Linked DNA regions of Mus musculus: region 1 is reported to be linked to region 2. The links are microRNA targets in miRTarBase. Many come from high-throughput screens and were not tested one by one. Region 2 holds a microRNA gene; the other region holds the end of a gene's coding sequence.

Region 1 (5,063 bases), not on the chromosome of region 2:
CGCACTTCATCAATTGTATTCATTGGAATGATGAACTTAGCTCCAAGAAGCTTCCTGGCCTCTCCACTGCAGCCACTGTCCCGGGTTAGGAACGGCAGGTCCTTAGTTGTCAGCAGCATCTAGGCACCTAGTGAGAATCGGCATCTGTATTAGTCAGGGTTCTCTAGAGTCACAGAACTTAGGAATAGTCTCTATATAGTAAAGGAATTTATTGATGATTTATAGTAGTCCAATTCCCAACAATGGTTCAGTAGAAGCTGTGAATGGAAGTCCAAAGATCTAGCAGTTACTCAGTCCCACACGGCAAGCAGGCGAAGGAGCAAGAGCCAGACTCCCTTCTTCCAATGTCCTTATATGGTCTCCAGCAGAAGGTGTAGCCCAGATTAAAGGTCTGTCCCACCACACCTTTAATCCCAGATGACCTTGAACTCAGAGATCTCCCTGTCTTAATCTTCTGGAATCCATAGCCACTATGCCTCAAGATCTCCATACCAAGATCCAGATCAGAAACTTCCATCTCCCAGCCTCCAGATTAGGGTCACTGGTGAGCCTTCCAATTCTGGATTGTAGTTCATTCCAAATATAGTCAAGTTGACAGCTGGGAATAGCCACTACAGCATCCTAAATGCAATTTTCATCCCCTTGACTAAACTGATTTAGTTTAATAGCATGTAATCTCAGCTTGCCTGATGATTGCAATGTGACTTGGGGCAAATCTTTAACAGGCAGTTTTCTGGTCTATAGAATGATGTTCTCAGTGCTCCATCTCAGGGTAGTTAAGATGAACAGAATAGAATACTGCTTGCAGCTCCTGTAGCCTTTGGCCAGTGCTTGGAGTCAAGCTGGGTCATGAGGGCTTTCTCCACTGAGAAGGTAGAAGGAAGATTTGGAGCACCGAAGTCTCAGCACTAGATTTTATATGATGTCCTGAACAGGGAACTTCCAGGCCAGGACTCAGACAAAGATTCCACCTCAGTCATTCCGGGCTCTTCATCACAGCTAATTTCTCAGCTTTCCAGGCTTGGTCCTCCCTGGACCCTGACAGAACATGAACTCTTTGAACTGGTAGTCAAAGTCTGTGCCTCTTGTATGATACCTGCCTACCATAGACCATTAAGACCTAATGCCTCTTTGGCTCCAGCGCTCACCTCCCCTTAGAAGCTGTTTCTGGGCCAAGTCAGACCTACATTTTATTTTATTTATTTATTTATTGTTTTTTGTTTTTGTTTTTCCCCGAGACAGGTTTTCTCTGTTTAGCCCTGGCTGTCTTGAACCTCACTTTGTAGACCAGGCTGGCCTTGAACTCAGAAATCCGCCTGCCTCTGCCTCCCAAGTGCTGGGATTAAAGGCGTGCGCCACCACCGCCCGGCTCAGACCTACATTTTAAAGACCTCCAGTGGGACTGGAATAGTTTGTTTGGTAAAGTGTTTGGCTTGTGAGCATGAGGACCAAGTTCAGTCTCCCAAATCCTCATAAAGAAAATGGGAATAGTGTCACACTTCTGTAATCCTAGCACTGGGGAGTTCAGATAAGAAAATCTCTGGTGCTCACTGGCTGGCCAGCCTTGCCCAGTTGGTCAGCTGCGGACCAGTGAAAATCCCTTTCTTAAAGAGGGTGGGCAGTATTCCTAAAGCTGACACTCACCATTGTCCTATGGCCTCCACATGTTTCTGTGCACACACACACACACACACACACACACACACACTTAAATGGGAAGACAGAAGCACAGGTACAGGCTGGTAGTCAGAGATTTATTCTCGAATCCGGATGTTTTCAATCTTGCAGTTCACATGTCTCAAGAATTCAGCGACATACACTGGCATAATCAGAGCAAGATCAAACGATAAATGTGATCAAGGAATAATATATGAGAGTTGGAACCATAACACATACACATATTATAAAGATTGCACATAAATTAAACATGACTTGGTTACAAACAAAAATATATCAGTAAATATACATGAAAAACAAAAACCAACAACGTGGCCAAATGCTGAAACACAGGTATCAGGCTCATTTAAAAAGGTTTTAAAAACACATAAAACTACCTTGGAAAACACAGGTGTGCATTCCTCGTTCATCCAGCCCATGGAGAGAGAGTAAAGCAAGTCACACAGTGACCAAGAGACGCACCTGATCAGAACGCTCAGCTCTGATGACTGTTTGGCGTTGAGCACAACCGCATGCAACAGAGAACTAAGAAGGTTGTCGGTGTCATAAACACCGGAGCTTCTTTGAAGGAAGAAGAAAAGGACATGCCAGGTACACAGAGAAGATGCTGAGACCGCCCTCCTCCCCCTAGGAGACCCCTTGTACACAGAGGCTCTGTGTCTTACGGAGGCTGAATTTTGCTATGGCATTAGTCAAGAGACTAGAGGGATTGGCCCCTCCAAAGTACAAGTGCTGCCCCAACTGTGCCCACAGGAGCGTGGCTTCTGTTTTTCTCTGGAATGAGACAAGCTGTTTAGAAACAGGCAGGGTCTCTGCCTGCAGGAGAACCTGGGGCAGCCCCAAGGTGAGGAAAAACACTCATTAGAATACTTTTCTAGACATCCTGAAAAGATCTACCCTAAGGCATTTCTTGATACAAGAGATGCCTGGGATTCTAAGGACCAGTAACTAAGTTGGGGTGCCAAGGTGCGTGGCCGAACTTTGGCTTGGGACCCATGTGAGGTCACCTTAATTCTAGTGGGCTTACTGCCCTCTGTCCCGCTTCAGTTACAGCAAGGCGTTGAGCTTGGGTCTAAGATGGAGACAAATGAGACCACTGGCCAGGGAAAGCTCCTCCATCTTCCATCTTCTGCCTGTGCTCCAAGGCTGCTCAGAGAAGGGGAGCTCCCACAAAGCACAGGCAGCCAGCCCTGCCTGCAGCTGGTGGTGGTGGTGACAGTGGCCACTGTCTGCTTTCATCCTGCATGCTGAGTGCCAGCTTGTGCCTCTGGATGGGACACTCAGAGCTGCGGGGCTTGAGATAAGCGTGGTGACCCGTTCACCTGTATGAAGCAGTGACAGACCCTGGGGTTGTCCCTTGTACACGAACAAGAACAAACTGTGCAATAGGCGAGCATGATCAGTCCTCCATGGAGATAAGGCCTTTGTATTTTCATTTCTCTTTTAAAAAGTTTAAAAAAAAAGTTCCCAAACTGTGTTCAAAGCCTTCAATGAGTTAGACCAGATGTCTTTTTTTTTTTTTTTTTACATTGTGCTCATTTGCTAGGTATCTAAATGCCATAGGAAGATAATTTTTATTGAAGTCAATGTTTCTACATTCCTCCTCCTCCTCTCCCTCCTCCTAACCTACCCTCTCAGGCAGTGCGCCTGTCACTGCCACCTGAACTCAGAGGTCTCAGCAGCCTTTCCTCCAAAGGTAAGTTAGATTAGGATCTTCCCCCCCTCTCATTTTTAAAAATTAAACACCAAGAGGTGGGACATTTAAGAAAAAAACTGTACAAATCTAGATTTTTAAGAATTCCTTTCTTACAAACCATCTTAACTTTTTACAAAGAAAATCTGACATCCTGAAATGGCTATCAGCAAATTGACAGTGCAACAGTTTGTGGCCATTCTACCGTGTGTGTGTGTGTGTGTGTGTGTGTGTGTGTGTGTGTGTGTGTGTGTGTGTGTGCAGCTGTGGTTGAGTATCAGCAAATTGACAGTGCAACAGTTTGTGGCCATTCTACCGTGTGTGTGTGTGTGTGTGTGTGTGTGTGCAGCTGTGGTTGAGCCTGTAGGCCCAATTAGGGTCAGTACAGGCAGCTGTGTCAGTGGGCGGGCCGTTGGGAATGAGCTTGAGTGGATTCTGAGCCAGGCACACAGGCAGGCAGCAAGTGGTTCCAGGAACACAGCTCAGATGGCTAGTTTGGAGGGTACTGGAGGCCTGTGAGAATAGATGGCCTGGTATAACACATCTCTTTATCAAGCCTACAGTGGCACTACACAGCCTCTCATGAATGCCTTTTAAAACTCATAGGAAAGTCACCACCATCTACACCTTGTACATCTGAGACCTGGATTTGGGTTTCAAAACCCTCTGGGTGTTTGTTGTTTGTTGTGTTACAGAGTCTCACTGTAGCCCAAGCTGGCCTGGCCTGACCTGGACCAAATCCTTATGCCCCAGCCTCCCACGTGCTAGCAGTGCAGTGATGCACTGCCGTGTCTGCTTCCACTCTGATCTTTCAAATGCAAGGATGGACCACATGGCTGAGACCCAGGACTCTACCAAAGCCCCCATGCACACTGTTTGCCACATTCCGATGCCCTGGGTGCGACAGTTGGTGGGGAGAGTAAATGTGCTCTGACTCGGAGTCCTCTACTGGTTTCTCCACAGGGGGTTTCAGGGGTTAGTGTCTTCTCACAAACACATTTGACATGTTAAGAACTACATTTACAGATGCATGATGTGTGACACCATGTGACACCTGATGTGGGACACCACATAACATGAATCTAATAGAACTAAGATACTGACTGGTGTTAGCAGAAATATATATCTTTCCAGATAGTATTTGACCTTAACATGTTATTCCAATTTTTAAAAAGGGCATTTACAATTTAATAACCTTACAGCAGGTAGCCTTTAGAACATAACAAAATATATACAAAGGAATTAGGAAGGATATTAATATCCACTAGGAAATAAATTAACATGATCTCTTTTTTTTTTTTTACAAAATATACTGACCATTAAATTAAAAAATATTTTAAGGCAGGAATCTTCATTTGAAATTAGCATAATCAGAAAATATATCGATAAAATCTTGTACCACTTTGTAGCAGAATTCATATTGCTCCTGAAAAGAGAATGAGAGTATATTAGTAATATATTAATACTAAGCAGCTTCACACATACCTGATGCATGTAATCAGAAGATGAGCTAGAAGCCCAGTTGTCAGTCAGTCTGCTGATGCATCAAAGTCCGGGGCTCCCTCCCACACATCAGTTTCTGTTACACAGCGGGCCTTTTAGGCATGAGCCATGTTCTAAACCAAGCTGTTTGTCCATGCAGAAAACATCAATTTTTAGGTTCACACTAGTGTGTTTTCAGTATGGTCTTTGG
Region 2 (5,075 bases):
GAACTTGTGAGGAGAGTTTATCAGCCAGGGAGCCTACAACGAAAACTGCAGCTTCTCTCTTTCTTATTTTTTGAAACACAAAAACCAGTAACTAAGAACTTAATACTGGATGACAAGTCACATCCACACTATTTAAATAGCCTCACAGTTAAACACATCATAAAGACCAGCCAAATCAATATTTACATTTATAAATCTCTGAAGACACCATGAGAAAGCTTATGTCCCTTAACTAAACAAAACAGGGAACTGCATCTGATGGTGGTGGAATGAAATTAAAACATTAAAAATACCAGTATTTACAGCAGCACTGATCCTTTATAAATAAAGAATATGAAAATGCAATATCTTTAAAGGATAATAAAAAATTGAGATGATGTTATTTAACCACAGTGCTTGGAGCAAAACAATGTCTCTTTAATGAAGCATTAAAACTTGCACTGTCATGCATTCATATGTAAGAATTGGCAGCCAAATTTCATAAGGTGAAAGTGATGCTTTTGATATTGATTTTAAAGAGAATGGATTGTTTAAAATTGTGTTTTGCTTTCTAAAAGTTATGGTTATGTTCTAATATTGTAAAAGAAACTTAAAAATTATGGTTAAATTGCCAGCATTCCACTGGCTGCAGTTTGTAGTTTGATCACAAGCTCAGGATTCTTAACTCACCCATACTTTGTAATTAGGATGACTACAAGAGTAATAAAAGTTAAAAACCAGCTGTGGCCAGCATGGGTCTGCGTGCAGCTCCTTTTACACAAGCTTTATTGGATACAGTGGTAGATGCAAAATTTAACCCTCCAAGGTTGGAAAGGAGATCTCAGTGAGAATTTATTTGGTATCAAACAGGTTCCTGATGAACTGTTTCAAGGAGTTTGTGGATAGGCTATAAAAACAGCTTATAGAATTTTCAGAGACCCTCAAGCAGGGATTCTTTTGTTACACAATTGTCTTATGAGAATGCTAATATAGCTCTCTGCAGCCATCTGGCTATATAAAGCAAAGGCAGATTTAACTGAATATATTCATCTTTGTGCAGAAATTGGACCCTCATACAAATGGGGTTTGGCTCTGGTTGCTGCCTTGTAGGGGACTACAGTACAAGTAATGCTTTCACAGTGACAAGGTTATAAGGAATGCTTTAAATATAAATCATTTTAGGAAAGACTGTCCAAAAGTTAGAGGCATAGACAGGGAGTAGAATTGTTCCCCTGGAATCTGTCCTCACTGCAGGAGCAGTAATCTTTGGGCCAGGACTCAGGTAGTAGGCTCAGATTAAGAAATATTTACATTTGAGTTAATATGAAGCGCAGAGCAGCCTCAGCAGGCTTGTGTGGCCTTTCTTTTGATTTCCAAACCCTGCCTAGGGAAGTTTTTGGGGCCTCACCTCCCCTCACTTCTGAGGAATTATTTTTAAGCTAAAACAGCATTATTACAGATCTATTCAGGTGTTGTTCAAAATAAAGTTTAAAATTAAGATTTATGAAAAGTCAGTGAGGCTGTGGAACTTGTAGAAGCATTACAATCTGGCCTGCCTACTCCAAATAGAATTATTATAGATTTGGAAGGTTGTTTTTTCCTCCGCATCCTGATAATTGTAAAGGATTTGCTTCTAGTGAGTTTGTTATCATTGGAAAGTTTTGCCTCTAGGAATGGCTAATAGCCTTACATTATAAAACAAACAAACAAAAAATGTCTCTGCTTCAATATAAGAAGTTAGGACCTTGAATCTTTCGGTGTATATTGTTTATTATGTGGAGAGTATTTTATTAGATAATCCTTCTGAAGGGGAATTTTACTACCTTAGCTCTTTATACAACTAACTTTAAAGTTTTGGGGATAGTTGTTGCTCCAGGAAGATTTTGAGGCAATATCTTTTTCAATATTTGGGGCCTCAGTTATATCCTAGAAAAGGTATGGCACAGAAAATTCAAGAAGGAAAAGATGATTTGCTTACTTCAAGTTATTTTCAAAAGCTTCTAGGAGATGTTAATTGGCTAAGACCTCACCTTAAGCTCAAAACAGGAGGACTTAAGCCTTTGTTGAATGTTGTCAAGGGGGGGGGGGATGCAAATTAACTGGTGAGAGACAAATAGCTTTGCAGAAAGTAGAGGAAGCTTTTTAAATCAATTGTTAGCTGCTTATTTTAGTTATTGCTACGCAATGTGCCCACAGCAATTCTTTGGCAAAAGAGAGCGTTAATGTTGATTCATCCATCCTTCTTCATCTCCAAGTAAAGTTTAAAATCCTACTATGAAGCTGCTGTGGTGTTAATAAAGAATTGTAGGATAGAATCAAGAAAGTATTTTGGAAAGGATGCCTTTAGAAACCTGATGAGACATCTATTCCTTGTTTCAATCAGCAATTAAATTGGTTATTAAAGAATACTGATATTTGGCCTATTGCATAGCAAACATTTTAGGCGAAATTGATAATCATTATCCAAAAGATAAGTTGTTAAAATTTGCTTTATGCATGCTTTTGCATTTCCTGTAAATTTATGTATGCATGCCATAAAGAATGCATCTACTGTATTTATAAACAGCCCTTGTATGGGAGAGAAGTATATGTGATTGGATACTTCAGCACAAATAATGGAAATAATTGCTGTAGTCACTGTTTTTAAAGTGTTGAAATCTAGTTTTTTATTTGTATTCAGATAGCCTATATATATATTTATTATATATATATATAATCAGGGCTTACAATTGCTTGAAATTGTTCCTTTTCTAGATACTGCTAATTTTCAAAAATTGCAATTCTTTATGCATATACAACTCAAGAGAAAGTACTGTTCCTTTAAAAGACTGCCTTTAGACATTTAAGAGCTTATCAATGACTGCCTGGACCAGACCACTTAAGGCAATACCACAGCATATTTTTATCCCACACAGAGTATAGGTCTTACATAGGAATAATTGTACATATAATCTCACTCTTTACATCATCAAGATAGTAATGGCTTGAGATAATAATTTGGTATTTTTAGAGAATGTGCATGTCAAATTGTAAACTTATTCTCAGTGTCCTCAATTTCTACATGTTCCACATAATGATGTTAATTCTTGATGACTTATATTTAATCAATTATTGCAAATGGACACTCATATTTCTGATTTTAGAAAAATAAAATATGTACATATGATTATTGACACCTTTCCAGGCTTTCTAGTTGCAACTGCAATTAGTCATTTCCTGCAATATTTTTTTTTTTTTTTTTTTTTTTACGTAAATAACCCGTTTATTGCAGGCTAGGCAAGTCTCAGACAGCAGGGCTTCTACTGGTCTTTCAGTTCCTTCAGTCTTCTGATGGCAGACTTCACTGTGACTGCAGAGGTGGTGTTGTAGGTCCAGGCCCCGCCGGCCACTGTTTTCATGCAGGAACCACAGTGCCAGATGCCGACGGCTCGTCTCTTCATCTTGGTCTTGCCACAGAAGGAGCAAGTGTACTTGGCGTGCTGGCTGATTTCAATTTTCTTCACCATTTTCCGGAGGGAGGCACCATAGCGGGTCCCGTACTTGCCGACGATGCCGACCTTCTTGGTGCGTTTAGCCATGTCGCCGGAACCCAAGCCCAAGTCCGAAGAGCTCCTGCAATATTTTTTATGCTTGATGTTCCAAATCAGATTAAAACAGATAATGGAACTGGCTATTACAGTCAAGCATTTGAGATGTTTTGTCAACAATTTAACGTTACCCATATTACTGGGATTCCTTATAATTCTCAAGGACAAGGTATTGGTGAACTTTAAAACAATATCTTCTTTAAAAATAAAAAGGGGGTCTTATAATCTTCAAGGTCACCAAAAGCACATCTTGCCTCTGTCTTATTTGTTTTAATTTTTTTGCAAACTGATGCTAAAGGTCAGGCTGCAGTGGATCGTCATTGGCATCCAGTCACTTCCAGCTCATATGCCATGGTTAAATGGCAGGACCCCCTAACTAATACATGGAATGGTCCTGACTCTGTTTTAATATGGGGGCGAGGTTCTGTCTATTTTTTCACAAAAGAGAAGACAGAGCCCAATGACTGCCTGAAAGATTAGTTTGTCAAGAAGACACAGATTCTGAGTCTTCTAGTAAGTTTGATTCCAATTATGAAGCTGGCTAGAAATCTTTATCAGTCAGCTGAATTAATTTGGAGCATAGCCTCCACCATTACCTGAGAAGTAACAGTTTTTTCTGTTGATTCTCAAAGCCACCTCCCCAACACTGGGAGTGGAGGCCTTGTGTCTGATCATTGCTAATTTACAATTGAATTGAGTGCTTGGCACATTCTTCCACAGACAACCTTAATCCTATTACTTTTAACTTTTGACTTTGTATTTTAAGCAGATTGGTTACCTCCATACAGGCTGGCCTTCAACAAAGCTCAGTTATGGCAGTTATTCATCGTTATGAAGAAATGCATATTGTGACTTTAGTCTGAATGCAAAAAAGGTGTGCTATGAGGGCTGGCAGTCAAAGATGGGCCACTGATGTTCTATGACTTTTATTAACCTAACACAGAGGCATGTGTCAAGAGGCAGTGTTTGTTCATAATAAACACTAAAAGTTTGTATTTATGCAAATAAACACAAACAAGCTGTGCATGTGCTCCAGGATGGGTAAAAGAAAGTATAGTTTAGTCCCAAGCCAGGTGTGGTTGCCAGCTACCTTAATTCCCAGGCAGGACCATGGAGCATAAGTAAATCTTATGCTCTAGTCCAGCTAATTTTTAATAAATAAAAAGGGAGGAACTGTGCCTTTTCCTCAGACTTAGGCAGGCTAGTTCAGACCTTGTTTTGCCATAGTCAGCTAGCCCACCTAGGGTGGAGTCTTCCGACTTAGGTGAAGTCTATTGTCCTGCCACATTTGCAGCTTCCTGCAAGAAGCCAGTACCTTCTGAGCAGCTGAGCTTGTCTTCCTGACAAGATCATGGTAAAGCAATGAGATCCTGGCAAAGTGGGGGATGTGTTCTCCCCCCTTTAAATTTCAGACCTTAGAAATAAACATTGAGCCTTGATCAGAGAATTTTGTCTTGGCTCATTATTTCTTTTGCCATCCTCCCCATCCATTCCTAGTTTTCCTTTCTG

What was found. Region 2 holds the annotated microRNA mmu-miR-682 (CUGCAGUCACAGUGAAGUCUG, at 3,314-3,334, opposite strand). A microRNA usually pairs through its seed, bases 2 to 8, with sites in the 3' UTR of a target mRNA and lowers its output. Matches are read on the target gene's strand: a 7mer-m8 pairs with bases 2 to 8, a 7mer-A1 pairs with bases 2 to 7 and ends in A, and an 8mer does both.
Region 1: the mRNA of Ptpre is a reported target of mmu-miR-682. Seed matches in the 3' UTR shown: 7mer-A1 at 1,783-1,789.

Annotation. Positions count from the first base shown.
Region 1 is chr7:135,682,965-135,688,027 of GRCm38, reverse strand. Ptpre (protein tyrosine phosphatase, receptor type, E) reads right to left here. Exons shown (of 21, transcript NM_011212.3): 21 at 1,734-4,796. The coding sequence ends at 4,722. Among named protein-coding and RNA genes, the nearest start is that of Mki67, 31 kb to the left of the region's middle.
Region 2 is chr13:75,643,378-75,648,452 of GRCm38, reverse strand. Mir682 (microRNA 682) reads right to left here and starts at 3,407; the gene lies at 3,312-3,407. It also overlaps the pseudogene Gm4149.